Linked DNA regions of Nothobranchius furzeri. The protein of the gene in region 2 purifies or fractionates together with the protein of the main gene of each other region. This does not show direct contact. Links are inferred from orthologs where the notes say so. Each region holds a gene or a part of one and is shown on either strand. Other genes may lie near its edges. The genes, in order: snx33 and faslg.

Region 1 (16,192 bases), on a different chromosome or scaffold from region 2:
CAGCTATTGGTCACAAGTAGTGGTAATAATATAAATAGCTTTTCAAGCAATTTACTTAAAGCAATTTACCCGCTATTATCATTACATAAGTGCATGTGCATCCCACAAACCTCCATCAACTGCAAGATGCTATACTATCAATATGGGCCAACATTTCTAAAGAATGCTTTCAGCACCTTGTTGAATCATTGCCATGTAGAATTAAGGCAGTTCTGAAGGTGAAAGGGGGTCAAACACCGTTTTAGTGTGGCGTTCCTAATAATCGTTTAGGTGAGTGTATTTAATGTATCCATACAAACTGGTGCATTTCCGCAGGACTGGAAATTTGCATCAGTTACTTCACTCTTTAAAAGGGGAGATCATTCAGACCTAAGCTGTTATAGAGCTATCTCTATCCTGCCTTGCCTTTGTAACGTCACAGAAAAGTTAGTCAACAAACAGCTGACTCACTATCTGGAATCCAGCAGCATTATTACCTCATGCAGTCCGACTTTACAACTGGCCATGGATGTGTCTCTGCAACACTTAAAGGGCTGGATGACATCACATACGTGCCATAAAGAGCACAATTTACATTCCAGTATAGGGCTGCAACAAACGATTATTTGGATAATCGATTAATCGGATGGGGTCTCGACACGATTAATCGATTAATCGGATTACATGGGGAAATTTTTAAAAACTGCTAGGGAAACGTTATTTCTCTCCTTCCTTCACTTTATTTAACACAACATTATTAGAAAACAGTTCAATAGCAGAAAAACAACATGCCATCACCTAAATTGTCTTATAAGGTGTATAGACAGAGACCCTAAGCTACATCTATCTGTGACCTAAAATGCTTGGTCCAAGTTAAACAGCTTAAGGGCAATTCTCATCTGTTTTGTTTGATCTCATCTGTTAACATTTATTTTAAATGTAATTAAACATAGGCTGTGAATTAATCAAAATTGATCACTATTTCCAAAACTGACTGAAAAAATACCAAATAAAACAAAAGTAAATGAATGCCATCCTCCTTGCGATGATGCCCTGGGCAACTGCCATAAAGTCACATCAAGAAATGCTGCTGATCATTCCAATGATCCCAAATAGACTCACATTAGGCCACATGAAAGCAACTGAACCCAAAAATATATTAACCAGTATATAAGTGCACTCTCACACAACACGCCTGCAGCAACAGTTAGGACACCTCCCTCCCTTTTAAAAGCGTTTTTGCTTCTGAGGACATTGTGGTTGTAAAACCACATGCTAGTAGTCTGGCCCCGGTGTGATCAACCAGTTTCTGCGGGAATGTGACGGCGGAACCAGGGCCAGATTAACACTTTGTTGTACCCTGGGCAACAATATTCAAGGGCTCCATCATCACGACCCAAGGATCACCATAATGTGGTCACATACAGAATATTTTACTGTGATATGCAGTAAATATACTCAATACTTGAATGCCTGACAACACGTAACCCGCCCAGAGTAACCTTTGACCCACCTCGTGTGGACTGACCAATGAGGAGAGGGTCTTAACTTGAGGCCCTCTCTTCATTGGTCAGTCTGCATGAGACTGACTCTCAACTGACGTTCAGTCATAGGCAGCGAAGCGTCTCTGTGCAGCGCAAAAGCCCGGGTGGACAGTTTGTTTAATGTAGGGTGACCATATTTCCATTTCCAAACAAGAGGACAGGGGATCTGTGCCTATGAAGTCACACTATGGCAACGCCACACAAACCATGTTGGGACCCATTTTTTGTAAGAACTAAATTAATATCAGATTCTGCCAATTAAAGGGCTCTAAAACAATTCATATGTAAATATTTTGCATATTTAATGCAAAATCTAATTTTTCTGCTTTAGTGCTGCAACAAGGTTTTATTAATAATAAATTATTATACCTTTTGTTTTACTACAGCATCGGTAAGCTTCCTGTGCACAGATGATTAAGGATGCTTGTTTCAGCTGTGAGATTAGACGATAGGATCAATGAAAAAATAAGTTGTCACACACTCCATGGAAACTTTCAGAGAATCCACAAATAGTGGCTTTCAAATGGTTTTGTTACTTTTAGCAGGTTTAGAAAAGCAGCAGGTGAGACAGCATGTCTGATAATTTAGTTTTTCATCTGATAATATTAGAACATGTCAGTAATGTCTGAGGGGCTTTTATAAACACCATATAACTAACACTCCTGGAGAGGGCATGAATTACACAGAGGCTTCTGGGGAGCCCAGTTAGGGGGGGGGGGGGGGGGGGCATTTTGCCTTGGCCCCCAAAATGTCTTGAAACGGCCCTGGGTGTGTGACTGAGTTTTGAAGGTGATCTGAATTGTATCAGATGTATAAATATAACATGTGTATAACTTATTGTTTTTTACTGGTAAAAACGTGTAGTGGAGATAAATCTATCTACATTTGACTTTTCAACACTTTGTTTTGTTTTCTTGTTTTTATTTAACTATTTTCCTGTCCTGTCTGTCTCTCATCTTCCTGCATCTCCTCTTAATTCTCCAGAAAATCTGTTGCCTGGATTCTTACCTTTTCACCTCATCAGTTACTTTTGAGCAGATCAAAGGGATCTCCTGACCGAAAAGCGCAGAGCGCGTTTTCGATGCTGCGTGAGGTGACATCACCACAGCAGAGGTGATGAGCTCCGCAGTAACGAGCTTCAGGCACAAATAAGACAGAAAATAGAGAATATGTGCGGACATGAACGATCGTGTGCTAATTATAGTTTTTTGGTTGCGCCACTTTGAGAATGGACCGTGTGCTGGAAGCAGCTGCCTGGATCGCTGCGCGACAATGCGGAACCGGTTCGCAGCAGCGCAAGTCTGTCGGCTCTCCCTCGCGCTGATCTGCCGGTACCGGCTCTCCCTCACGCTGATCTGCGGCTCTCCCTCGCGCTGATCTGCCGGCTCTCACTCGCGCTGATCTGCCGGTACCGGCTCTCCCTCACGCTGATCTGCGGCTCTCCCTCGCGCTGATCTGCCGGCTCTCACTCGCGCTGATCTGCCGGTACCGGCTCTCCCTCACGCTGATCTGCGGCTCTCCCTCGCGCTGATCTGACTTGCTCTGGTCTGCGCGCAACGGCGGGCAGGAAGGGGGGGGCGCTTTTGGAAGAGTTGTGCGACACAACGAATCGATGACGCAATTCGTTGCCAACGCTTTTAGTAATCGATTTTCATCGAATTTATCGATTCGTTGTTGCAGCCCTATTCCAGTAACCTAATCTCTATGGTTATTCCCAAAGCTCACACCTCCTTTGGCCGCTCCTCATTCCAGTTTGCTGCTTCCAAACGACAGGAATGAGCTGCAAAAATCACTAAAGCTAAAACTACCTGCTTACTATAGTCGCCTGCACAGAACCCAAATAATGCTGCTACATCAAAAATGCTGCTACATTGTGTATATATTTGTAAATATTACTGTTATTTCATTCTGTATTATTTTCCTGTTTTCTTTTACAATTTGCACCAAAGGGAGAGGCACTCCAATTTTGCTGTACCTTGTACAACGACAAAAAGGGCAATTCCATTCAATTCTATTCTAATCTACCTACATTCCATTATCTACCTTCAATAATTCACTGTGATCAATAGTTCCTGATCAACGCACTTCTGACTACTTAAAGACTGTTTTAAGTCTGTTTTGATTGATTGTACATATTGTAAATGAGAACAGTCCATTGTCTTTATGTCTAATTGTTTTATCAGATTTTTATCTAGTATTTTTTTTATCTTACCCATTTTCCTTTGATGTAAAGCTAACTGTGTGTCTGTTGCTGCTGCCTCTGGGCCAGATCGTCGTTGTAAATGAGAATCCGTTCTCAACCGACTCATCTGGATAAATAAAGGTTAAATAAAGATTAGGCGTTTGTTAGACTTTTGGTCATTCATTTATCCCCGCTAATCTGAGGAAGACTTTTTGTTGTCCCTTGTCTCTAACATGCTGTTAAATAATACATAATCTGAATAGCTGAGATGCTTAGTGACCAAATTGTATAAAGAAAAGTAGCTCAACTTCTGACACACAGCGATATGTGAAAAGTGAAACTAAGTTTATATGATTTGCAGAAAGTGTGCAATAATTGTTTTAAGTAAATTAGGCAGGTGCATAAATTAGGACACTGTTGTCATTTTATTGACTCCAAAACCTTTAGAACTAATTACTGGAACTCAAAACTGGTTTGGTAAGCTCAGTGACCCTTGACCTCCGTACACAGGTGACTTATATTATGAGAATGAGTATTTACGTAGGTAACTGTGAGTTTCCCTCCTCACTGAATATTCTCTGAAGAGTGGGGGTCTTAAAACAATTCTAAAATGACCTGAAAACAAAAAATGTTCACCATTATGGTTTAGGGCAGTGGTTCCCAACAGGGGTATGCATACCCCTAGTGGTCCGTGAGAGCATTACAGGGGGTACACAGATTTCTCCTTGAGTTACATTTGACAACAAAACGAACATTTTCTTGTGTTGAAAAGGAATTGACGCAGTTTAATCTCCACGTGTAGGCTAAAGCCTGGTTTATGCTTCTCCGTCAGCTCCACAAGGGACAGACACGCACGGATTGAGGGAAGCGTTTTGCTCTATTACTTCTCCGTCTCCTGGAGAGTGTTGCAAAGCAATTGCCCGGCAGGACCACAGAGGGCGTAGCGCTGTTCTGTGGTATCCTGTCATGTATCGGTCCAAGATCGTGTGTTTATATTGTGTTTTTTGTGTTTATAAGAGACTTTTAACACGGACATATTTGTCTCTCATTCTCCCACCGCTTCATGCGCTCCCCACCTCTAAACCCACGTTTTCTGTCATTTCTGTCCACAAATAAAATGCTTGCTGTGCATCTTTTCACTCCTCCAGTCACGGGAGAATTAAACATTCATATTTTTAGAGTTTTTTCGCGAGGTATTCTTCAAGCTTCTCTGTGTCTGCCGCTAGTTATCCTCGGCTCTCTTTGCAATGGCGGCGTTGTAAACAACAGCGGCGTCCTGTCCAATCACAAGCTTGCGTAATCCGTCTCGTTCGACGGATGTTTAAAAAAGTGGGCTCGACTCCATATGTACTTGCGTTCCTGCCGGAGCCCTACGCAAGGACGGATAATGGCGTTGCGTGTCTCCGCACTGACGCAGACGGAGAAGCATAAATCAGGCTTAAGCTAGGAGCTAATTATGCTTACTGTAAAGAAATTATCTGAATTGTACATTTACTTATTTTATGCTGTCCACATTTTTACTAATTAAATTAATTCGAATGGAAGAAGTATTTGAAGCTTTCTAAACTAATCTCCTTTTCTTTGTGTCAAACTGGTGAGACAAACCTTTGTCATCTGATGGTTTTTTCACACCGAAAATAACTTTTCTCACAGTTTGAAAATAAGCACTTTCTTGACATCAAAATGTGTTTTTAAAATTCATTGACATCATATGTGAAATCCATGGAACACATCAAATGGGATCAGCAGACCTTTTATCCTTACTCCCATTTATTTATTTTTTGGCAGTTTACATGCATTTAAATAATATCAGTTCATTTAAGGCCTTAACTTGTTTATCGATGTTATGTGTTAAACACCCATCCTCTATGTTTCCAGTTATTCACATGGAATTCAGTGGTTATTTACTAACCGAACTAGAATCATCCCTATGCAACCCAAAACTGATGCAGTGTAATGATTTTTTAAAAAATAGTGTTGCCTGAATCACAGGAATGATTTTAAGATGGCAGCAACACACTGGAGAACTGGTTCTAGAAGGAACTTTCAAAGTCCACCGGGCCAAAAACGAGAGAACGCTCTTCCTGTTTGACCGCATGCTGCTCATCACCATACGCCGTGGAGAGCACTACATCTACAAGAGCTTCTGCTGAGCTCAGAACAGCCAGTGGAACACTCATCTACTTCACCAGCACTGGAGCCACTCAAGAAGCAACCTAAAGTGAGTAATACAATAATTATTTATAACTTTACCCAGGCACGAGCTTCACAAAGACTGTTGTTTCTGATTTTACAGCTTTTGTGTGTGTAGGTGATGTTTGTGCTGCATGACAGGGATGAACGCATACAACTGTGAGGTGCAAACTAGGGCTGCACTAGCCTAGTGAACTAGACCAAATTCTTGCTTTGCAAAGTTTGGTCTAGGCATGCTCCATTGGAACCTCAGCAGCTCCTACCAGGACTCTGGCTAGCCAATCACAGCTCTCTAGAGGAGTTTCAAACTAGGGCTGTAGCGAAGCCTCGACGAAGTCGATGGCTCGATTCTAAAAATTTGTCGACGTCAGATCCGGAAGTCGACGCACCGCGCCCACTTGTTGCATCCCCAGGAGTTAGTAAATAGAGGAGGAATCTGCCTGTTTTTCCTCTAGTTCGCCCTCTTCTCCGCCTTCACTAACATCTCCGCCAAATACCGAAGGCCCGGAACAACGTCCGTCCACTACTAGATTATTTTCCTGTTTTGCCCGCCTTCGTCTCCCAGCAACGGACAACAACTTCCGGGGTCAGATGCGCTGCTTCGTGTCTATCGCAGATGTAGAACATCACCGGGAGCGTTTCTCCCTTCATTAAGGAGCTTCTTTCAGACAGTAGGAGAGCTGTTTTGGTGGTAGCAGTCTCTCCTCCGTGCTGGTCTGTTTGCTGCTGGGTGTTTTTGGTTTATTTAAACTTGGTAACTTGAACTTAACGTTGGTAAAGCTACTGTTAGCATCTTCGCTAACAGCTTCTTGCGTTGGGATAAGCTGTTACGTTTTGGTTTAGAGTTCATCTTTTTTGTGGTGTAGATCTCCCTTTTATTACATTTAGAGTGTTGTGGGTTTTCGGTTTAGTGTAAAATATCACCTGAGTTTGGTTTAACCCGTAAGACCACTCGCCTCACGCACATAAGTGACCAAAACAAAGCAGCATGGAGACACTCCATCTTCTACCACCTCTCAGGCAGCAGCCTGCACTCCCAAGTTCTACATGTCACCAGAACATAACCAACCGCAACACAATAAACGCAGTGTTATAAAAAAATGGAAGGCCTGTAGTGTTTATTCTCTTACAGTAACAATTTATCAATTTTTTTGAGGAATTTATTTGAGATTTTCTGGTTTTTGTTAATTGTGCAATAGAAAAATAATCATTAGATTAATTTTCTAAATAGTCATTAGAATAGTCGACTATTCGATAAAATAATCGTCAGAATAATCGTTTTAAAAATAATCGTTTACCCCCCAGCCCTATTTCAAACACATAAAGAGCTGCGATTGGTCCATAATGGTGGGCCAATCATAGTGCTCTATCTGCTTAGTGAACAAATCACAGAACTTTATCCACTTTGTGGGCCAATCAGGGCACTCTATATGCCTGGTGGGTGGGATGATGCAACAGAGTGAAACAAGAGTATGTCACATTCATTGTCCAGTGGAATGCGGAGATCATTTGAAAGACAACGGTAGATCCCGCCCCACAACCGAGAGCCGTCAATGGAGCATGGCCAGACTAAATAATACATTTATTTAGTCTGGCTTGCCAGGCTAGGGCTGCACGACATTAAGAAAACCTGCGATGTGCAATAACAGTGATTTATATTGCGATGACAATAAGACTTGCAATAAATAAACAAATACCTAACTCAAGAGCAAAGAAAAATAAATAAAAAAATATGACTTAAAAATATCTTAAAGAGCAAGTCACCCCTACCAGAGTCTTACTCCACTCCCACTACAAGACCGAGAGGGCGGAGCCACTAACAAACACAGAGGCTCACAACGACACTGTGACATCATAATGTACCAGCTAACGTCACAGTGTACCTCTTAGCCAATAGCAATAGCAGATTTAAATTCAAATGCAGTGCAGAGTTTTTACCTGACGACGGCGCAACACTGACAGTTTTAGGCAGATTGTTTAAATTTTAACTAAGATGCACTAAAGTGCCAAATTATTGCCTTCACTTTCCATTTTTGGTTCTTTTTTAAACACAGATAAGGTTTTTCTTTACCTTGCTGACGGTTCAGCGACAGCCCTAAAGATGTTTGCAGCCACAAACGAAACCGTCAGCAAGGTAAAGAAAAACTTTATCTGTGTTTAAATAAGAACCAAAATTGGAAATAGAAGACAAACACAGCAAAAATGTACAAAAGATTGACTACACATGTCTACAGCACGATTAGACACTCATTTATATCGTTTATAAACAAAAAAGTAGATTTAGGGGTGACTTGCCCTTTAAATAATTGGAAAAGCAAAAAATTTTATCAAAAGTTGTGAGGAAAGGAAAAGGAAAATGAACAGGAAAGGGCAATCAATGGATCCTGGGAACCGCAGAATCAGCATAAAGAGCAGGGCAATGTTTGCTAGCCATCCAAGTGCTGTCAGCCTATAGGGGGTGGGCATCTAATGTATGAGAAGCCACCTAATTGGCCAAATGGGTGAAGAGCTCTATTTGATTTATCAAATACTTCATGCTTCTGTTTGGTTGAAAAAATAGTATTATATGTAGTAAACATTTGATCTGACCACTCACTGCGCTTTTTTCTGTTCGTTGCAATATGCGTATTGCGCGTGGTGATATTGCGATTTATTGTGCGGCACTAGCACAAACCACAAAGTATGATCTATGTTAGATGATGTAAGTCAGACTAAACTAGAACCTCCTTGTCCAGCAAAACCATATCTTCTACTGATGCAACAGAGCTCATCATGTGTCAGAGTCTTGACCTACTGAGAGGATGTACCCACACACACAGCACAGCATGCAGGAAAAATATTCTTCAGACAAGCTACAGAAGTCAAAACCACGTAAGGACTTGTGATAGACTCACCTAAATAATATATAAATAAAGTAATCACCTTATTAGGTTTTTGTAAAAAAGCCATACATGCATGACAACACTGTAGCATTACCTTTCTGTAGATGAATGATGTCAGGAAAGTTTGCGAGCAGGCCTTGGTAGAGTGACAGCTTATCCAGCATATGGAAGAGGTCGTACTTTGGTTGCTCTGCAAACATCTCTCCGATGTTTTCGTACGTGCGTCCAGTATGGGAGATGGCGTTGTTGAGGGTGTCTGACCTGTAGGGTGGGTCCAGAGTGAACGCCTGGCTAATAGACTGGAAGGAATTTCCCAAGCGCTGGAACTCCTTCCTGAATCCACCCAAGTGCTTACGCACTAGCTCTGAGGCGACATTTGTGAGCTGCAACACACTGTCGTCCATTTTCCTGGCAAAACTTTTAAAGTTGTCCACCCTCTCCTCAACATCCTGCAGGTCCTGGTGCTCAGTGGGGACTTGAAGGGTCAGCATGAAGTGGGCACCCACCATCTCATCCTTCTCTGCCCGCCTTTTACCCAGTTTCCACTGCTTATCTTCAGTGCACATCAGAAAATGCTCAAAGCCTTCATACTGGGAGAGGACTGGGTGGCTGGTCATGTGGTTCATCCACAATACTAGGCGCCTCTTACGCTTCTCAATGAAGTCCTCCTCAAACCGGCCCGTGGCCTGCTTCTCGGGGAGGTGAGGCACAGAGATCACAGTGAACTTGTGGAGTAAACGGTTGTAAAGCCAGTCGAAATGTTTGTACCGTCTGTAGACAGGGTGCCCTGTGTGGCTTGGCGTGACTCGATATGATATGTAGGTCTTGATGCCCTTGAACTTTGTCTGTTTGGTTGGGTCTTCAATGGAACAAGTGAACGGCTGAGGGCTGTCCTTCCACTGAGGCCCCAGTGTGCCCATCTCAATGGTATATGACTCAGCAATTTTAGCCATCATGGGCACATCCCCCAGCACAAATGCCTCTACACCTGAGCGGACAAAGCTGGAGAACCTGTTCAGGTTCCTGCCCACCATGCTGCCCTTCCTGGAGCTGGAGATGCTGTCTGGTCCAGATACTGACTTGTTCCTGTAGTGCATATTGGGACTGTTGGACATTTGGGCCTGGTAGGCATGTCCATTAGCCCCGGGACCCCTGAAGTTCTCAGCATCATCCACGACAGTAGACCTGTCGTCCCAGTCGTCCCAGTCATCGTAATCATCCTCGTCATAAATCTTCCCAGAATTAAAAGAAGTGTTTGGCGTGGATGGTAGATCGGAGGAGTCATTTCCTAAAGAGCCTGCTGGGCTTATGGAACAATCAGTCATGTTGGAGTTTGAACGAGTGCGAATAATTTTCACATAAGATGCTGGGAAGAGCCCCCTCTCCCCTCGGCTGTTCTCCCCCTGGAACCAGCCATCCACCGTGTTCTCATCAAAGATCACCACCTCCTCATTCTCCTGGATGCTAATCTCTTCTTTGTTTTCACTTAGAAAGGTGTAAACGGCCACAGCCTTTAAAGACATGTTTACACTCCAACAGGCTCTACACCACTAACTTCTACATGCACATGCTGCCCGGGTTAGGGGCAGCCCTACAGCACTTTTAAATGTGACTGCTATCAGGACAGGAGTTCCAGACATCCAGTTGAAGTTTACCACTAGTGAGAAACAGCGCTTCAAGGCCACCAACTGTTGATCTAACTACAAATATTTGCTCTTTATCACAAAGGAACCATGTTTCCACTTTCACATTAAAATACTACACGTTCAAACCCAAAACTGCACGAGAGGTTTGAATCCTCCAAACGTTTGCTGGTGGTCACTGACGTTCACTAATCAGACGCTTCCCATCGAGGAACCCGAGTCCAATCCGTGATAAACACATTCCCAGGACCGACACCCGGAGAGGAGAAAAACAGACGGGTGCGTCATGGCATCGGCGATCCGAGCCTCGTTCCCAAACTTGCAGCGTTTTCCTTGTTAAAAGGTTCCTGCGCGTCTTCACTCGATCCTCGGTGGAAAACAAACACTCCGATGTTTCCCCGGAATCAGCTCTCATCACCGGCCACTTTTCCTGGTAAAGAACCCGCAACGAGCCGCAACAAAGTAAGTCTTTCCATGACGTGATGGTCGGACGTTTAAGGGAAGTTCTTCTTTATGTTCCATAAAAGAAGCAAAACCAGAACAATGGCGCCGCCAGCAGGACCTATGAGCAGGACGAGCGGGGTCTAACGCACACACACACACACACACACACACACACACACACACACACACACACACACACACACACACACAGACACACACGCATACATATACATACACACATACACACGCACACTCACACACACATATACACACACATACACACACACACATATACACACACACATACACACACACACATACACACACGCACATACACACACACATATACACACACACATATACACACATACACACACACATATACACACATACAAACACACATGTACACACACACACGCATACATATACATACACACATACACACACACGCACACTCACACACATGTACACACACTCACACACACACACACACACACGCACATACACACACATATACACACACACACTCACACACATACACACACACATACATACACACACACACGCACACACGCACACACACACACACATACACTTGCACACACACACACACTAGGGGCTGCATGAATTAATTTTTATTAAAGTTGACAGTCAAGTAATGAAAATCGAGTCGACTTTGACTAGTCGTTGATGACGTCATACACCTGAAGCTGGGCGCGGGGGGGGGGGGGGGTCGGTTGGTTGGAGTTTTTGACAATTAAAAAATGCGCCCACATTTTCAAAGTTAAACATCTCTTTTAACAACGGTTGTTACTGCATCTTGTTTCAGTTCTCTCCCCCCTCCCCCTGCGCAGCAGCCGCAAACTCACTGGTGTGCCTGCAGCCTCTCAGAGTTCCCGCTGCTCTAAACATTAAAATAATTATTTCATTTTCTGTTCCTCACTTCTGATTACCTTCAATGGTGTCTGTTGTTGCAACCACCAGGTACAAAAACTAACTTGTTTTTATTTGACTATTTTTCTGTCCTGCCTGTTTATTATCTTCCTGCATCTCCTCTCAGTCCTAAAGAAAAACTGCTACCTAGCTTCTTGTCCTTTGTTTGGCGACTTGAACACCACTTCTGCATTCACCTTATGAGTTACCTTTGAACTGCAGTTCTAAAAGATCTACCGACCGCAAAAACAGCGGAGTGCGCGCTGCTCGCCGACCACATCAGTGAGGTGAAGTTATTGGAGGACAAAACAGGTGATGCGCCCTGATCCACAGCAGCGAAAAGCATCAGGCACAAATAAAAGAATAAAATACAGAAAACATAAAAGGAAATGAGCCGACATGAACGATCGCGTGTTAAATTAGTTTTTGAGGTGGCAACACCTGATTTGATAATGTTACTGTGGCTGTGCTCAGGACGCAGATGTCTGGAGCACGTCAACAATCAGAGCTTTGCATGCGCAAGCTGGTTAAGGTGAGGATGGGGGTGAGGGGAATGTTAAATTGCACACACATATACACAGACACATATACACACATACACACGAACACTTGCGGTCGGTAACAAGATGGGGCCTGTGCTTGGCTTAGCCGCGGTCACAGGTCACTTTTTCAAACTTTTCTCCACTAACCTCCTCTTTTCCACTTTGCTCCTGCCTGCGATCTTCTTCAGTAGTGTCCCTGCTACCATCTCCTCTGATTGCCAGACTCTTTTGACCTTCCGTTCATTCACGATCGCCCAAGATGCACCGAGGACGTACCTCCCTGTTTGTTTATCTGAGTGGCGTGCTGGTCCGGAGCCAAACGACGATCCCAACCAGCGCGCCTCCTGCTATGTTTATTTGGTCCCGGGAAAACGTCGGAGGAAAAGAGGTAAACGAGCAGGAATCCAGGTGAGAATAAGACTTCTGTTAAAGTGTGGGTGATCTAGTAAACATCGGGGTGATCTTCTAGCTTCTTGTCCTTTGTTTGGCGACTTGAGCGCCACTTCTGCATTCACGCCAGGCCGCAATGTGGCGCGGTTTCTCCGTCCAAGTTTTTTAAGGTTGGTTATCCTCATTCCTCAGTGGTTTCTCCTCCTGTTCCGTCCATAAGTGGTTTTTATAAACACCGTGGATCTAACCCTGCTAATTTACGTCCACTAACTCCAGCTGTTTCTGTAGTTTCTGATTCCTCCACCTCACTCAGCATGGCCCTATTGAACACCCGCTCTGTTAACAATAAGACCTTCCTGCTCAATGATCTAATTCTCTCTAAAAACCTGGATTTTCTGTTTCTGACTGAAGTTTGGCAGCAAACATCTGATTATTCTGGTCTGATTGAACTCTGCCCGAGTGAATATTCTTTTCTTAGCCAGCCCCGGGGTTCTGGTCGTGGTGGAGGCCTAGCTGTTGTTTTCAGAGACCATCTTCCATGTAGCTCTACAACCTCTGGTCACTTTGCTTCCTTTGAACTGCAGCTGATTAAAGTCGGGCATAAGAACCCGTTCTACTATGCTGTGGTCTATCGTCCACCTGGTCCAAACAGTTCTTTCCTTCAGGAGTTTAGTGACTTTCTATCCTCCACTGTGAAGCTGTCCAGACTGGTGATTGTTGGTGATTTTAACATCCACGTTGATGATCCCTCGGACCACTTTGCCATGAATTTCTCCAGCATTATGGACTCCTTCAGCTTTACCCAGCATGTTTCTGGCCCCTCACACACCAGGGGGCACACGCTAGACCTTGTTTTTACCCTGAGTCTAAATGCTCACAGTGTTTGCCCTGAGGACATTTATATTTCAGATCACCATTGCATTTTCTTTAACTTGTCAGTTTCTGCGTCCCCACCTCCTGCTCGCCGTATGGTTAGTTCTCGTTTTCTTAATGAGAGCACAGATAGCAATTTTTCTGCTGCTTTTGATCCACCCTGTTTTTCTGATAACGACCCAGATTCCTTAACTTCTCAGTTTAACGAGCACTGCCTCTCCATTCTGGACAACATCTGTCCTGTCAGAACCAGATCAGTTCCTGCAGTGAACCCTACTCCCTGGTTTACTGACAGCCTTCGCAGCCTACAACGCCAATGCAGAAAAATCGAGCACTTGTGGAAGAAAACCCATCTCCACGTCCATCTGCTGCACCTTAAGGATCTTCTGACATCCTTTAACTCTGAAGTCAGAGACGCCAGGGTTTCCTATTTCTCCAACCTGGTGTCCCAGAGCAAAGGGAACCCCAAGGTGCTGTTTAACACCATCAGCAGCATTGTCTCTTCTGTCTCTCCTACAGCCTCCATCCACTCTGTTACAGACTGTGAGATTTTTCCGTCTTTCTTTGTGGACAAAGTCAATAAGGTTAGCTCTAACATCTCTCCTTCAGCCTTATCGCTGCCTCTCCCGACTCCAACCAGGCCCATCAACCTAGATAGCTTTGCTCCTGTTTCTTTGCCTGAGTTAACCAAACTAGTTAACTCTATGAAGACCTCTGCATGCCCCCTCGACATCTTACCCTCATCTTTGTTTAAAAGTGCTTTTCAGTCCATCGGTCCAAGCGTGCTCTCTACAGTTAATGCTTCTCTGGTTTCTGGTCAAGTCCCTGCTTACTTTAAGAATGCTGTAATCCACCCGCTTCTTAAAAACCGAGTCTTGACACCTCTCTCCATAGCAGCTTCAGACCCATCTCTAAACTTCTGTTTATCTCCAAGATCTTGGAAAAGGTTGTGGCTAAACAACTCACAGCTGCTCTTGATGAACATAACATCTATGATAGCTTCCAGTCAGGTTTTCGTAGAGCTCATTCTACTGAAACAGCTCTTCTTAGGGTCTCTAATGACCTTCTGAAGTTACTGTAATGTATTTCCTGTATTCAAACTGGACCAAACGCGTAATCATTTTTGCAAATGATGTTTGTTTCCTTTAGTTTCAAATTTATGCAGCAAAAACCCTTTGAAACATTGATGTAATAAGTGGTTGTGGTTGGTCTGGTTTGGGGAGTAGAGATGTCCAGGAGTCACCAGAACCAGTAGCAAATCAAGATTGGAGGGTGTTAAGTAAGATAACAAGGATGGATTGCCTGGATAGCTAGGAGTCATTAGAACTGATAGCCATCAAAGACTGTTAAAAAAACACTCCTTTGATAGATAAAGAGCTTTTAAATTACATCATCCAACAGGGAGGGTCATCAAAGCATTCCTTATTTTCCATGGTGTGTGTGTGTGTGTGTGTGTGTGTGTGTGTGTGTGTGTGTGTGTGTGTGCCGGAAGATGAGTGTTGTGAAGGGGTTTTTATTCTCAGACTGTTTTTAAATTCTGGGGATGGGTATGCGGGGCCTTTTAAACTTGTTAAGCACTTTGATTTACATGCATTGTATGATTAAGTGCTATATAAATAAAGTTTGATTTGATTTAATCAATAAGAGTAATTAAATATTGCCCGCGGCTAGAAAAGAAACAGTAACAGAGGTCAAAGCCATAAACCAATCACCTTAGCTCCTTCCACGTTTCAAAAGTGACATTGGGTACTTCTTTCTCTCACTGAATGGTGGGCTGTTCATGCTGGATGCTGTTTAGTAAACTTCTCTGTCTGTAGCATGGCGCTGCTGACCAGTAGGAACTGAGGAAGAGAGTGAGCTCTCTCTGTGTGTGTGTGTGTGTGTGTGTGTGTGTGTGTGTGTGTGTGTGTGTGTGTGTGTGTGTGTGTGTGTGTGTGTGTGTGTGTGTGTGTGTGTGTGTGTGTGTGTGTGTGTGTGTCCTCTGCATCGGAGCTTCACCCCAGCAATCTCAGGGGAGAAAGCAGTGTGAGTGTGGCAAAACATTATGACGACACACACAGCTTAGATCCCTTCCCAGATGCCTCAACGCCCACGCATATCCTGGGCCATCTGACCTCAGGAATTCACATGATAGGGTGGGGCCAGGCTTCACAATGAGCTCACCCGAAACTCTGGCTGAATAGGACCCACTCCCACCCTCACACCTTGGCTCATGTGTTTATGTAGAAGATCATCAGGGTGTCTTTTGTTCCCTCCCACTGGGTTTGAATCTGGGACTCTCCACCATTTGACCTAACAACTGAAGAAGCCTCTCGGATGAGAGGTGAAATGTCTTCAAGCAACTAAAAGAAGTCCAGACGCTTTTCTTTCAAAGCTCCTTAGACTACAATGACCTGGATGACTGAGAACCTTCACAGACAGACGACACACACATCAAATTAATAAAATAATGTGGTTCAGAGTCTCCAAAAGCAACACGGCATATGCCCACCTTCGTTTATCTCATTATGGAGGACACCGTGGTCTTTCCCAAGCTTATTACAGTAATCTGAAGGTTGCAGGTTCGTTCCCGGCTCCAGACAGAGAA
Region 2 (16,192 bases):
AAATGAACCATTAGGGTGATGACACAACACACATATCACTCTGGTGATCACCACAGAAGATGTTACTCAGCCATTTATTTTCTCTGTTGAGTAACTGCTCGTAGACCAATCTAGCACTGAATCTGAAAGGTTTCCTATGACATGTTATTCAGACTGATGAGAACTGATGAGTAATTTCCTTTTCCTGGCTGAATGTTGGACCAGTTTTCACGATAACATTGGTGATTAGTTGAAAGTTGTACGTTTTTTGGTAATTACTCAGCTTTGAAGCAAAATCAACAAATAACAAATGTAATAGTTTTATGTTTTTGTACACCATCCAGAGCAACAATAGTAACAGTATATGATAAAATATTGGTACTACTGAAATGTAATTTTTTTCCCCAAATATAAGCTATTTTTGTAATTGGATTTGATGAAATCCTGCTTCCACCTGCGTGACGTACAAGCATTTCCTAACATAACCCAATAAAGCAGCTTTTGCAACATGCCAGCCGTGGTAAACTGTGTATCAGGAGCTCTCTCTCTCTCTCTCTCTCTCTGTCTCTCTCTCTCTCTCTCTCTCTCTCTCTCTCTCTCTCTCTCTCTCTGTCTCTCTCTCTCTCTCTCTCTCTCTCTCTCTCTCTCTCTCTCTCTCTGTCTCTCTCTCTCTCTCTCTCTCTCTCTCTCTCTCTCTCTCTCTCTCTCTCTCTCTCTGTCTCTCTTTCTCTCTCTCTCTCTCACACACACACACACACACACACACACACACACACACACACACACACACACACACACACACACACACACACACACACACCTGGAATGAACTATTGTCCCAGTCTTTCCCTAACGCTCACCCACAAAACTTTTGAACCATTCAGCTAGCGGCTAGTGGTCAGTGTTGGGCAAGTTACTTCAAAACTGTAATGCATTATTTATTACTTGTTACCCTCATTTTAAAGTAATTCATTACATTACAATATTACTGGTTTTAAAATGTAAGGCATTACACTACTTTTGCATTACTCTAAGTTACGTTCAACAAGACAACTTCAGTATGAGTTTGGTAATCTGATGCCTGGTGAACTCATGACACATCTGGTGTCATGTGGTGTCTGAGCTAGGATTGCTGTTAAAAACAGTTCTTTAGAAGGATTGTTTATGTAATAAATGCAACCACAAACTGTACTCTCAGCACGTTATCATCTTAGATTAACTGAGCGGCGAGTGAGGTGGTGGGGGCTCCAAGCCTATTTGCCTTGGTCCCCAAATGCCTTGATGCGGCCCTGGATGTGGGACTGACTTCTGGTGTGATCTATTCTATTACATGTATAAATATTAAATGCTTATATTATTGCTTTTCAATGGTAAAAATGAGTATTGGGGATAAATCTACCTACATTTTTTCTTTTCAAGCACTTTGTTTTGTTTTCTTGATTTTATTTGAATAATTTCCTGCCCTTTCTCTCTCTAACCTTCCTGCATGCTGCATGTTTTCTCCGTCTTCCAGAAAACCTGTTTCCTAGATTTCCTACTTTCTAACTAATCATCCAAAGGGATCTTCACATGTGCGGCGCTCCAGCAGCAATGAGTTGAAATCACCGGAGCCCAGATTAACTCAGCTGAGGCAAAGCACGTCAGAAAAGTACAGAATACCAGAGAACATGCACTGATATGAACGATCGCAGGTGAATTATTTTGTTTTAGTGGAGCGATTTTGTGAATGTTACAGCGGCCGCGCGTAGGATGCAGCTGGAGTATTTGAGCCGTTACCGCGGCGTCCTCTCTGCCCGCAAAGCTGAGTCCATAAATGACGTAATATATGCAGATACTGGAACTTTTTTCGGGTATCCCGCAATTTGAATTTTTAATAAACGCATCTTGATTCTGGGTTTAAAAATGCATTGTAATTACCGCGTTACTGACAATTGTACCGAGTAAATATTACCATTTTCTTTCCCTGTAATGCCTTACATTACCACATTACAGCAAAAAGCAATGCATTACAGTAATTAATTACTTTTGTACTGCGTTACTTCCAACACTGTTAGTGGTTAGCTTTTTGGTTGCCTGTGTGTGCGCACGGGGTTCGGGGCCACAAAGAGGCCGCACATGGCCTGCGAGCCGCCTGTTGAGGACCACTGAACTAAAGCATGGGAGGTCAAGGGGATGGGGCAACACTGATTTAGCTTTTCTGTGAAGTTAAAACCTATAGATGTAGTTCACTTATTTCATTCACTTTGTATAATGCACCATTACTACAGCATAATGCTTCCACCACTATGTTTAACAGTTAGTATCACGTTTGTAGGTGTGAAAGCGCCACCGTTGGTCATTAAAACATTTACTTTTGTGTCATAGAGATCAAAAAGCTTGATTATTGTCTTGCCTGACTCAGCGCCTTCCCTTCCTACATGCAGAACACAAGCTGTGTGTAGGGACAAGGGGTATTCATAAGTAGCTAGTGAGGCTACAGACAGCTACAGTTTATAAACTTGATTCTCCCACATTCCATCAGAATTGACAAAGCTAATCACATTAGAAGTGAAAAGTCTTCAAGGAACCAAAGAAGTCCAGTTGCCTTCATTTGAACCCCTCGGGATTACTATGAGCTGGACGACTGAGAACCTTCACCAGCATTTTCTTGAACATTCTAATGATTAAAGTCAATCATGATTCCAACAAGAATTGTTAAGAAGTCTTTCGCTCATCAAGTTATGCATCCAGTTCTTTGAAAGCACCTAACTGATGACATTTGTACCCAGGATGTAAAATTCTGACTGCAATTATAAGTCCAACTGTAACAGCCAGATTAATACTTGAATACTTACATTTTCATCTATCCATTCATTCGATTGGGTAGCAGGGGCAACAGCCTAAACAGAGAGGCCCAGACTTCCCTCTCCCCAGCCACTTGGACCAGCGTGTCCAGGAAAATCCCAAAGTGTTAACTGGCTACCCGAGAGGCAAAGTCCCTCCACCGTATCCTGGGTCTTCCTTTAGGTTTTCTTGTTGGACGTGTTCAGAAAACCTCACCAGGGAGGCGTTCATGAGGCATCCTAACTAGAGGCCCAAGCCACCTCAACTGGCTCCTCTCAATGTGGAGGAGCAGTGAATCTACTCCAGGCCCCTTCTGGATGACCGAGCTTTTCACCCTATCTAAGGGCGAGCCCAGCCACCCTGCAGAGAAAATTCATTTTGGCCGCTTGTATTCATGATCTCGTTCTTTCAGTCACGACCAAGGGTAAACCCTAGGCTCTCAGACCTGAAGCCACCCTCATCTGCTAGGTTCTGGCACCAGAAGTGAGCAAATCCTTATTGAATCCGATGCTAAGAATGCCAATTCCACAGCAGAAAATAAACATGTTTACAGTCTGGTTCAAAACACCATTTTAGGTTTAACAGATCTAGTTTACATTACATAGATGGCAACTTTGATGGAGTGAATTTTTTTTGTATAAATTTTCTGTTTAAGTGAATTTTAATGCTTAAAATTCGGAATAATTAATGAGCATCAGAGCCATGTGACTTCAGAGCTAGCTCCAGGAAATGGCCTCAGCCTCACTTTAATAGATGTTTCGACTCTGAACGTTAGTTGTGTCCTCTGTGTGTTTGTGTTCGTATTTGGATGTTAATGAAGAAGGCTATCAGGCTAATCTGCCGTTGTCGACGGTTCTGGTGTACTGCAACGTGGCTCCAGGCTCTGCATCAACTTAGCGCCGATAACCGAGTTGACGTTCCCAGAGGGCCTTGATGGCTGCTCTCGTTATCTGCCTGTATCTGATTTTGCTCTACATGTTTGTGTGTATAACCTTGGTTAGGGTGTACTGCAGAGACAATTTTCTATACTTAAGGACGTTGGGGCATTGACAGTAAAGTTGATTCTGGTTCTGTAAAAGGCCACAGCGCCTGGCTACAGTTGTAGCAGTCTGAGGTTCTGCTTGTAGTTTAACAGTCCCGGTCCATATTAGAGCTCCACAGGTGACCAGCATGAATACAGCCTCGCAGTCGGCCGTGCGGGTGGGCTCTCCCCGAGCCCCTTCTTAGCTTAGCTAAGTTAGCTAGTAGCTACATAGGTTAATGTGTAGCAACCCTGCTCCAACCGTAACAGCCCCACCCTCAGTTCCAGCTCTTTTCCCATTTTTTGATCGTCTGGGCGTAACGAGACACGTGACACGGTCAAAACAGCGGTGTTGGGAACCTCCCATTTAAAATCAAAAACTTGTAATTTGAACCTATGGACATTATTTGTCCAGTATATTTGTCGATGGTCATGATCCAAAGGTCACAACCATAGGTGAGGGTATCAAAGTAGATCGACTGGTAAATCAAGAGCTTCACCTTCCGGCTCAACTCTCTCTTCACCACAACAGACCAGAACAACACCCACAGCACCACTCCGCCTGTTGATCTCGTGCTCACATTTCCCTCAAGGCCTCGAGATGCTTAAACTCCCCCACATGAGGCAGAATCAGAAGGGTTTTATTGCCATGTGTGTGAGAATCACAACATTAGAAAATTGCTGCGATACTTGGTGCAAGAAAAAAATAAATGATAAGCAAAATTAGAACTGAGAAAAAACACAACGAAATGAAAGTAAGATAAGGAATCTATAATTAGAGAAGCAGCTGTACAAGTCAGTGTAGGTACCGGTCAGAGCGGGTCAGTTCAGGTGTAAACACAACACAGGGTCATGTGACTGAAACAATGCAGTTGGAGTGGGCAGTTCTATGATTGTCGTTCATGAGTCTGACCGCAGACAGGAAGAAACTGTTTTTGTGGCGAGAGGTTCTGGTCCGAACGGATTGGAGCTTCCTGCCAGATGGGAGCGAGTCAAAGAGACTGTGTCCAGGGTGAGACGTGTCAGCTGTGATCCGACCAACACGCCTCAATGTTCTGGAGGTGTACAGGTCCTGTATGGAGGGGAGTTTTCAGCCATTGACCTTCTCAGCAGAGCACAACACTCTGCTGTCTTTTCAAGTCCCTGATGGTGGCTCCGGCGTACCACACGGTGATTGAAGATGTGAGGATAGACTTAGATGATTGTGGTGTAGCGCGGCCTCATCAACTGTAGTGATAAGTAGGATTTTTTTCAGCTGCCTCAGGAAGTACATCCTCTGCTGGGCCTTTTTTATGATGGAGGTGATGGTGGGCTCCCACTTGAGGTCCTGGTTGATGGTGGTGCCCAGGAAGCGACATGAGTCCACCATCATAATGGGAGTGTCAGACAGGGTTATGAGAGGGAGTGGGGCTATGTGTTTCCTAAAGTTCATAACAACCTCCACTGTCTTCTGGGTGTTTAGCACCAGGTTGTTGTGTCTGCACCAGGACACCAGCCGTTCTGTAGACAGACTCATCCCCATCAGAGATGAGTCTGATGACGGTGGTGTATTCTGCAAACTTGGTAAGCTTGACAGACTCATGGTTGGAGGTGTAGCCGTTGGTGCACAGGGAGAAGAGCAGAGGGGAAAGAACACAGTCCTGAGGGGAATCGGTGCTGATTGTTCGCAGGCCCGAGGCCTTTTTCCCAGCCTCACTTGCTGCTTCCTGTCCATCAGGAAGTCAGAGATCCACATTCAGATTGGGTCAGGCACGTTCATCAGGGACAGTTTGACAGGGAGGAGATCTGGGAGGATTGTGTTGAAGGCAGAGCTGAAGTCCGCAAACAGGATCCTGGCGCAGGTACCCGGGGAGTCCAGATGCTGCAGGAGAAAGTGTAGAGCCATGTTGATTGCAACAGCTCCAGGCAGGACCTATTAGCTGTCTGTAGGCAAGTTCAGCCTGGCTAACTCCTGAACAAAGGGAGTTGCAGTAGTCCAAGAGTGAAGTAATAAAAGCATGGACTGCTGTTTCCAAGTGGGCATGCGAAACTAGCTGCTTGATGGCAGCAAAGATGGAAAAAATAAGAGCGTAGCACCCCATTTTTACGACTCTAACTTAAGTAGTGCAATTTAGGGTTGCCAGTTAACCTAATGTTTCTGGTCAGTGGGAAGAAACCGGTGAGCCTTTCACAAAGTCATGCATGCATGAGAACATGCTAACTCCACGCAGAATGCTGCAGCTAGAATTCAAACCTGAGACCTTCTTGCTGCAAAGCAACAGTTCTACCAACTCTACCACCATGCAGCCCACTCCAGATTTGGAGAAGAAAAACAAATAGTTTCACATTTTAGCAGATGCATTTGCTTCTCATCTACAAAATTAATCCCATACTGTGGTTTATATGTGTGCAGCTAATATAATTTCCTGTGAGAGCCTGTATTCTGCTCTTGATTTAATCTATCTGTTTGGCAATCAGAGTATTTAAATGTTACACACAAACATGCCTCAAATGTGATAAATGTTTGGTGAGATTTGGAATAATCATTTAGCCTTTTTGAAAAAGACAAAAAAAAAAAAAGATCAGTGGGAAAGTGTCAAATGTCAAAAGTGAAATGAAGACGTGTTTTTACAGCTGTTGACGCGGACTTTTTTCAGAAGTGGGTTTGATAAACAGAGAGGTCCATGTTGACTTGTCTGAGTAGAAAGCTGAACATTCTCAGGTGTGGTTTTAACTTTTATAACCAGCAACTCAGGAGGTAAAAACCTAATGAGGTTTATGCAAGTTCACACAGAACAGATTTCTAAGAGTTTGTTTTTGAGGAGTAATGAAAACTCCTCGTTGCACCAGAATAACCGGTGTTTCTTGTCAAATTCCCACAAGTTGTAAGTTATTTACCAAAGAAAGAAAGTCCAAACTGAAATATTCTGATATTATTTTGACATTTTAAAGGACCGGTTATTCCTTATTGTTCAACAGGTGATGAAACCAAAACTTCTTAAGAAGCACAGACGCTAACCACATGGATTAAAAGAAACATGAACTCTTTCACAAAAAAACACCTGCAGGCATGCAAGACCCTCAAAACGTTCACACAGGAAGGAAATGCACATCAGAGTTGTTTCGTCCCCTCTGCATGCCCATCATGAACATCTTCTCACTCTGCTGACTTTGTGGTGCACTAAAAACGAATGCAGCAACGAGCGTTAAACTGAAACCAAAGCTTGCATTCTTTTTTTTTAATCCAACTCTGGTTGCTTTACAGGTTCATGAATTGTCACAAGAATATAAACTCTTGAGGGTTGTGTCTGAGGTTTGTGCAGCCCTCCTCTGCACCCAAGTGGACTTGAAGATCACCTTCAGGAGCTAGTTTGGGTCAGTCTCTGCCTAGATAGTTTCTAGCACTCATACCTAAATCTAAATGTGGGTGTTCACATAACACAATCTATTCAAGCATCTAAAACATTCTGATTGCACATAGAAATCTCTTGTTGCAACACGCATAAACTTTATTTGCTTTATTAACAATCATATTAGAGCACAGCTTCTGGTTTAGAGGCACATATTCAGACACGGTGTCAGTCCCTCAACAAATAAATATTTAAAACAATGCTACAACTTTAGCAGCACCTTAGTGTTAACCGACTCCTGAGTCATCAAGAAAAAGAACAATACTGGTGTCTACACGTGAGTGAAAATACAGTTTAATTACTTTTTCAATGTGCACAATTCTCATTATTTAGGATGTCAATCAAGGAAATGCTCAAGATGTCCTCAGGGTTTATACATCGCAGAGCCAACAAAGTTAAGACAATGAAGAGATATCCAAATGAGTTATTGATAATAATAATAATAATAATACACATATATAAAAAGGTGTGTGTGTGTCTGTGTGTGTGTGTGTGTGTGTAAACACATTCAGTTCATCATTTGGGTGAAGTTTCTGGTACGTTTTACACCTGGCTCAGGTCAGTCCGCCTCACAAACACTCAAAACTGTTCAGATCTTATGAAGACCAAAGAAGTTGGCATAATGAGTGTGGCTGAGATATTCAGGGCGCGAAACATTCACATAAACTTTATCATGAATCTTCAGGTGCAGAGTAGCGCCCAGGTAGCTCTCTGTTGTCCAGGACCGGCCCGCCGTCTGAGGGCAGAACCCCGCCCTGTGGGCCTCCATCAGAGTCAAAGGTGAGTGGTGTCCTGCCCTCCTTACAAATATGGAGTGATCAAACGAGGAGGTGGAGGTGCAGCCCTTAAAGATCAGCTCCACTCTGGAGTAGATATGGTAGAGTCCAGTCTCGTTGACCTGCAGGGCTCCATCTTCGACCTTGTAGGACACTCCCCCCGAGACGAACGCCTGGCCCGTCCTCGACTCCCAGCGCAGCGTCTTTCCCGGTATCGGTCCGATGCGCCCTGCAGCAGGAAAAACATGACATCAGTAAAGATCAATCAGAGAATATCAGGAGAACTCAAAGTGAATATTTACCAATCACATGTGCTGCAGGTCTGTCCGTTGTGTCTTCTCCGCTTAGTTCAGGCTTATGGAGACCTAAAATCACCATCAGATTAGTCACAACTGCTCCTTTTTAAATTCTTTATTCAACATTTGAACTTTTTCTATGTTTTTTGAATGATTCGTGCACAGCACGCAGTGTTTCATGGTGTGAACCTACCAATTTGTTTCAAAGGTGCATGAAAGTCGGTGGCAGGTTCAGGTTCAACCTAAAGTGAAATGAAAGACAAATCTCAATACCACATCACACACTTGTGAGCTTCAGCTTGTTCCAAAAGCATCTAAAAGCATTCTCACAGCACAAGTGAAACAGAGGATATCCTGTCTGAATGGACTGGCGACCACAAATGGAGCGGTGAAGACAGAGGTTTGCATTTTTAAATGCCTGAGCGAAACCCAGCCATAGCCACTCTCAAGTAGTTATTTTGTTCTAAACCGAGTGACTTATTAAACGTTACAGGTATGCCCAAGCTTTCCAACCATAGTTCCACTCTCCCACCTTACACCTCCATGTCACCACCTTTCTATGCAAAAATCCCTTCTTGCTTTTGCTGCTCTACCCCACACAAGAAAAGGGTGATAATGAATATTTTATCTGTGCAAAAAATAAGATATTAGATTTTCCAGCATACTTTTTTCTTTACAGAGGCCTGCACTTTAGCTTTTCAATTCTCTCATTTCTAGACTTTCATTGACCTCTTACCTTTTTCCAGGGCACGTCTTTGATCTTTTTTTGTATCTGCAGAATCTGCCAGCCTTCAAACCCCAGAGCTGCAAACGCAAGCAGGAACAGCATCAGCACGACCATGGCCAGTCCAGGGCTGATCCCCATGCAGCCCCGGCTCTTCTCCCTGCTCCTCATCCTCTCCACTGCTGGTGGGAATGACCAGCAGGGTATGAGGTTGGGAGGCTGCGATGGATGGTGCGAACCTCCACCTTCATCCACCAGAAACACCTGAGGGAGCGGGTACCTCTGGTCACAGCTCATGGTGCAGGTCCTGTGACACAAGCGGGGTGAGCATTTGCTCTGTGTAGAAGAGGTGTGGACTTATGTTGTAGCACCACTGAGACATTACCACCCACTGTTCTCCTCCCACATCTAGAAGACAACATCTTTCCTAAACGTGCGCAAACTGGTAAAACAATCATCTGCTGAGCTGCTCTGGTTGGCTTTGCAGTATTTAATGTGTTTATAATTCATGCATCTCATGCTTTATGCACGTTTTTCAGCCCCACTTGAACTTTGTTTTATGCAAGATGCAAAAGAGCCAAGTCTGAACCTGAAGGAAGTTTGAGGTTTTAGATTACCTGGACCTCATTAACCACTTTCTCGTCACTTAAAAAAACCTTCAGGTTCCACGAAAAGAAAATCTGAGCAGCATCCCTTGAGCAGGTACTACTACTGAAATACTGAAATATACTTTTGTTTCTGAATATTTCATTTTCTTTCCTTTTCAAATTTTCAACCTTTTCCATCCATCCATTTTCTTCCGCTTATCCGGAGTCGGGTCGCGGGGGCAGTAGCCTAAGGCAAGAGGCCCAGACTTCCCTCTCCCCAGCCACTTGGGCCAGCTCCTCCGGGGGAATCCCAAGGCGTTCCCTAGCCAGGTGAGAGACGTAGTCCCTCCACCGTGTCCTGGGTCTACCTTTAGGTCTCCTCCCGGTTGGACGTGCCCAGAAAACCTCACCAGGGAGGCGTCCAGGAGGCATCCTGACCAGATGCCCGAGCCACCTCAACTCTTAATGTGGAGGAGCAGCGGGTCTACTCCGAGCCCCTCCTGGACGACCAAGCTTCTCACCCTGTCGCTAAGGGAGAGCCCAGCCACTCTTCGGGGAAAACTCATTTCGGCCGCTTGTATCCGCGATCTCGTTCTTTCGGTCACTACCCAAAGCTCATGACCATAGGTGAGGGTAGGAACTAGGGTTGTCACGATACTAAAATTTCAAATTCGATTCGATACTTGACAAAAAACTCGATTTCGATACTATTTAAAAACACCAATTTATTGAACAAGTTTATTCAAAAAATAACATTCCTCCATTTATATTGCAAAAATTAAATGTTAAGAATTAAGTGTGTAAAGTGCTTCAACCTTTCAAGTATCAGCATTTTTTAAAACGTGCGTACAAAAACTGGCGAAAGTTAACACTTTAAATCATGAATTGTCTCACTATATATACACTATTTGCAGTGATGTTTTGCTGCTTAAACTCTGTTTAAGGTGCATTTTTGTCATAAGATGTATTGCCATATATTTTGTTCTGTACTTTTGAACAACTCTGTTGGTCAGTAAAGGGAGAAAACGAATTTCTCCACAGTAGGACAAAGGTACATCTAATCTTAATAAAAACAGACTGGCGCACGGCAGTGACGTCATTAAAAGCGCCGGCTAGATTAGCCGCGGCTAGTCTGTTTACGCCTAAAAATCCGACACCCGCTCCAAACGAACAGGGGACTCATGATAATGATTCATAACAAAACCTTTCGACATGAAGATGTTTTGGTGCAGATAATGTCTTATTTCGAGGCTGCACATGGGTGCCCGTCTGCACCCGTTACATGGATATACGCTGATGGCGATTCGCCGATGGATCTAAATACCCCGGGGAATCCAAGTAGCACCAAAGTTGTCAGCGTGAGTAAACAAACGTACTGCATGCTAGAAATTAAGTCCGGGTTGCAATAAACGGGAGTTTCCATTAAGCACATAAGCGTGAATATACAACTACGTGTCAGACTTGGTATGCTAATTAAGTTGGGCTGTGAAGTGCCTCCCAAATTCGCTGTTTATGTTTTTGTTTATTTATTTGGCAGACAAAACTTGGATCGGAGACAACTCACGTGGGAAATTGCAACGTAGCCATGCGGCGTCTTCTTCTGTTTGTCTGGGAGGCGGAGGCTGCTTTACGGCATCTGGCTGTCGTGCGTGTCGGTGTACTTGAAGAAGGCTGTGTATAATAGTCCATAATATCGATACCACAGGGATGGAATATCTAATTTAGATACCACTTTTAGTATCGATTTATATCTAGGTATCGATTTTTTTGACACTAGTAGGAACGTAGACCGACCGGTAAATGGAGAGCTTCGCCTTGCGACTCAGCTCTCTCGTCACCACGCCAGACCGGTACAATGCCCGCATCACTGCAGATGCAGCACCAATCCGCCTATCGATCTCACGCTCCAGTTTTCCTTCACTCGTGAACAAGACCCCGAGATACTGAATCTCCTCCACTTGGGGCTGGACCTCATCCCTGACCTGGAGAAGGCATTCTACCCCAACTCAAGACCGTGGTCTCAGATTTAGAGGAGCTGTTTATCATCCCAGCTGCTTCACACTCGGCTGCGAACAGCTCCAGTGAAAGCTGAAGATCACGTTCTGATGAAGCCAACAGGACCACATCATCTGCAAAATGCAGAGACCTGATCATCAGGCCACCAAAATGGATGCCGTCCACACCTTGGCTGCACCTAGAAATCCTGTCCATAAAGGTTATGATCAGAATCGGTGACAAAGGGCAGCCTTTCAAGCTTTTCAGTTTTTTTTTAATTCTCTCATTTCAAGAATAAACCACGAAAACCCTCAAATGAACCAGATTCCAACCAATCAAACATATAACTTATCATGAAACCAGATTATTTTTGGTTAGTAAACAGTGATGCAGCAGTTTCAATAGAACAGAGAATTGTTGGTGGGGAGACGCCGCTGCCACATGAAAAGCAACATGTCTGCACCCTGGCTTGCGTGCTGGCTGCATTCGAAAAGTTTGCAGCGAGAGTCAGAGCCGTCCTTCAACAGAGGTGAGAATGAACTCTAACCAATACCTCAGTGATAAGCTTACCGGAAAGCTGAACACACACACTACTGTGGTCTTTTAGACTTCTGTTGCCATGGATACAGAATATCTGAGCTGCAGCTTTGTGGGTGGGAGGCTTTCCTTCAGCTTCAGCCTATTATCTAACGAAGATAATCAGACTAAAATTAGTGACCGATCTTGGATAAAGGGCATCTCGCTAAATTCACACAAAAACAAATTCTTGACTGGGGTGAAGCAGCTACGGTGCTGTCCCACTCTGTTGTGTTGAAAATTCATATTGAATAAGTTTCACAACATCTGAAGTCAAGTCATTCTCATAAATATTAGTAGAAATACTAATAGATATTACCAACGTGCTCATTGTGCAAGCATTAGTGAGTCTGTATGGGGACTCTCCTGTTTCCAATGGAATTTGGGTGTCACGAGTGTCTTGGTTTCATTTCTCCAGGTTGATGCTAACACAAAGGGAAACCCACCTAGCAGTGTGCAGAAAGCTCCCAACTTAAAGGGCAATTACGTCAAACTTTACCATAAACTTCACAAACTGCCGGCACCCTACAAGCTGATGTGTCTGTTTCCCAGAAGTCACGCTGAAAGAGGCCCTCGCTGCAACGGCATTAGCAGCAGCAGTGAGTGGGTTAGGTGGGAGGGTGGGGTTTTGGGGTCTAACCAGACCGCTCACAGCTGCTGCTCCAGTTGCTTCAACCAGATCAGGTATCTGAAATGAATCGCTGAATCAGCAAGTACTTCTTTCTGTCATTCAGTCTTTCTCACCATCATTTCTTTCATTGAACAATAGAGGTTGTTGTGGTCATGACTAATAATCAAACGGTGATTCTCTACCTGCTGGGGCTCTTTATGGTGTGGAAACAAACTAAATTCCTGAGAAAGCAAATTTGATGAACTTCATTTCAGTATAAAATAATTCTGCATGAATGTAGGACGAATGGTTTTATCTCTATGATGAAATTTTACTAATTTAATATCATTTTGCTATAAAAAAAAGTCGATTTCAGCAAAACTTTTCTATTAAACTGTGAAAAAGTTTCATACTTGTAGCAATTTTACTAAAGAATTACACTAAAATATTTACTGACCATGTTTATATAGAACCAAGTTTAACCAGGGGCAAGGCTAGGGGCCCTCTAATCAACCACCAAGTCACCTGGTTACACAAGTAATGCTAAACAAAATATTACTTTTACTATTAGTGTAATTTTAATAAATAACATTATTGAGACATTGCATTTGTTAAATAAACACACAGGACCAGGAAAGAGTTGCGTGTAATTCAGTCCCAGACTTTACATCATTGCTTCATATCAGGACAAGATGTTACGAGCTCCTCATCAGAAGATGAGTAACAATCAAGTCCCAAAACATGACCGGCCTTCTCCGTTGTTTCATTCCTGGACGTTTCACAGTTTGACTCGTTCTTTTGTCGTCCATCAACAGAACTCCTTGTGCCCTCTTCGCTGTTCTCTGTGTTTCTGATTTGTAATAAAACATTTTGTTGTAATGAAGAGTTATTAAGGTTTGGAAGCCCAGACCGCAGCACCCGAGCCAGCTTTTGTGTTTTATGTGAACTCTGAACAGATGGTGCTCTGAACGCAGCGGCAGCCACCGCCAGTCGTGTACGGTCGAAGGCCAGAGGCTCGTTCTGGACTGAACTGACTAGTTCTGAGGGGTTTGGGATGGAGCAAAGGGAAACAACCGTTTGAAATCTGGTGTCTGAAGAGCTGCAGGCTCCATCTGTGGTTGAGGGTTTCAAATATCCTGCCAAACTTCGGTCATCCTTATCCCACAAACTACCAGCATCACACGGCTCGACAAGCCGCGGGGATTTACCTGCGAGTGAAAAAGAGAGTTCTTACATGAATGAATGAATAAACAAGACTCAGCATATTCAGGTCAAATCAATTTAAAACCTTAGAAAACACATTTCTAAGTAACATTTTAGAAGTTCCTACAAACTATTCACAGTGATTTTTCAGTAAAGGTTTATTGTTTTGGAAAGTTTAGAAGCTCTCGTCGATTTAAAGCCCACTTGTAACAAAGTTTGCATTTAGTTGCAACAAGTTAAAATCCTGCAAATGATCGTGAAACTGTTACGAAACATGATAACCCAACTTTATTCATTTAACTTGAGTAAAACAGCCATGCAAAAGGTGTAGGACACTAAATATTAATGCCAACATGATCCTGAACTTTTAGAAAGCAGTGGTCAAGGGTCTGCCGATGGGTGGCATTCCTGTCTGCTACGGGAGTTGCTCTGCAAACCGAGATCAATACAGAAAGTAGTGAAGGCAGCAAGCGCATCACTGGGAAAAGACTCCTAGTCATCAGACATCTATCTTCCACGGTGTTGACGTAAGGCTGTCAGCATAATCAAGGACCACAGCCATCTGTCATGCAGACAGTTTATCCTGCTACCATCTGGAAGAAGGTCCAGGAGTCTAACTGGCCAGACATCAAGATTAAGGAACAGTTTAGCATCAGGCTAGTCGGGGCAGCAACACTCATTAACCACCATCTGTAGACTAGTAATGGCTGACATGAATTGAACACGATAGAAATGACATAAATCTAGCCAACGGTAGAGATTTAGAGTACCAGCCAACTTTGATTGTGCATGCTGACGAACGTTGTCAAGCTGCATCTAAACCGCACTTGTATAGCACCTTTCTGAGTCAGAGGACTCCAAAGTGCTTTACACTACAGTGCATCAGTCACCCATTCACACACACTGATGGTGATGAGCTACGATGTAGCCACAGCTGCTTTGGGGCACACTGACACTACTTCAGACACTACTCTACTTTGGAGGAAAACACAGCAGTGGCTGCTTCAAGCGTGGAGCTGGTGGAGAAGGAGGTGCTTGTAAAGAAGACCGGGTCGGTTATTTGGACCTGGTTTGGATTTTAGGAATCTGGTGTTGAGTTGACAAACATCAGAATATGTCAGAGCAAAAAGAGGAAATACTATGGCTGACAGCCCTCCAGAGATGTCCGGTTAGTGAAGCAGACAGGAAAATGGTGGTTCTACACACAATCATCAAACTAGTGTATTAATTTAATGTTATTTAGGATTAGATTAAACTAGTATTTGTTTATGCTGATGTGTTTGTATTAAGGCAGTCAAAGCTAATGCTTTAATAGCCCTTTAATACAAATTCCAAACAACACATAACTTTTATGAAAGAATGAAAAACATGAAAAATGAATCAGTAAGCAGGAACACGTTATTCATGTTTCTGTATTTTTCACTTTGGTTCAAAGAATTTAGAATTTTGTGCTTTTATCACATTCAGCTTGTATAGGGCCTAGATCATAATCATTAAATTCGTTAATCGTATGATATATGAAAATGAACTCAATTTTTCCAGCCTCAATATAATGAGGTTAAGAAAAGTACAATTCTATTATTATTATTATTATTATTATTATTATTTAATATCATTACTGAAGTGCAGTTTTGGTTGTGGACACTGGATAGGCCATTGTATTTGTTTTGGAGAGACGGGGTCTATTTTATTGTTTTTGGTGCAATAGTTTCTAACAGAGAGTGAAAGTCCTTTTATATGTAATTATTTTTTGTTTTATTTATTTATTTATTTCAAAGTTCAGGTTCTGGACATATTTTGGTCTCAAGAATGGCGACAATAATATTGTTTTTCGAGAATTTTTTGGACAATACATCATCCAGCAAAATTTGTAATTGTCCCAGGCCTAAGCTTGCATTTTTAAAAAAATCTTCATTCATGGCTGCCAAAGTGCTGACACACAGCCTGACAGGTCCTGTGTGTTTGCTGAAAAAGTAATTAAAAAGCTTAAAGGACCCTGGATTGTACTATCAACGTCCTGCTCTGTGGTGTGGATAATTCTCTATCTTCTGTTGACTTCAGCATGTCCAAGAGAAATTAGTAGTCAAACCCTGTATCCAGCCAGATGGAGTCAGCATATGCTGTACACAAGAATACTGGACTTTGGCCATGCCAGGCCACCCCAAGATGAACAGGAACAAGCCTTCACAGGTAGGCCGCTCCTTGGTGTTTTT

The links.
Region 1: the proteins of faslg (region 2) and snx33 purify together in Homo sapiens (co-immunoprecipitation; 3 studies listed by BioGRID and IntAct, counting the BioPlex papers as one, with this or other methods). This does not show direct contact. The link is inferred for Nothobranchius furzeri from reciprocal best matches to the Homo sapiens genes FASLG and SNX33.

Annotation. Positions count from the first base shown.
Region 1 is NC_091754.1:43,249,987-43,266,178, forward strand, and holds the start of snx33 (sorting nexin-33), read right to left. Parts: upstream 10,489-16,192; 5' UTR 10,304-10,488; coding exon 8,875-10,303; intron 1-8,874. UniProt on the Homo sapiens protein: Plays a role in the reorganization of the cytoskeleton, endocytosis and cellular vesicle trafficking via its interactions with membranes, WASL, DNM1 and DNM2. Acts both during interphase and at the end of mitotic cell divisions.
Region 2 is NC_091748.1:47,049,309-47,065,500, reverse strand, and holds faslg (tumor necrosis factor ligand superfamily member 6), read right to left. Parts: upstream 9,406-16,192; 5' UTR 9,306-9,405; coding exon 9,021-9,305; intron 8,527-9,020; coding exon 8,478-8,526; intron 8,354-8,477; coding exon 8,291-8,353; intron 8,218-8,290; coding exon 7,802-8,217; 3' UTR 7,306-7,801; downstream 1-7,305. Other genes in the region: uncharacterized protein si:dkey-86e18.1, read right to left, coding at 13,446-13,984. UniProt on the Homo sapiens protein: Cytokine that binds to TNFRSF6/FAS, a receptor that transduces the apoptotic signal into cells. Involved in cytotoxic T-cell-mediated apoptosis, natural killer cell-mediated apoptosis and in T-cell development.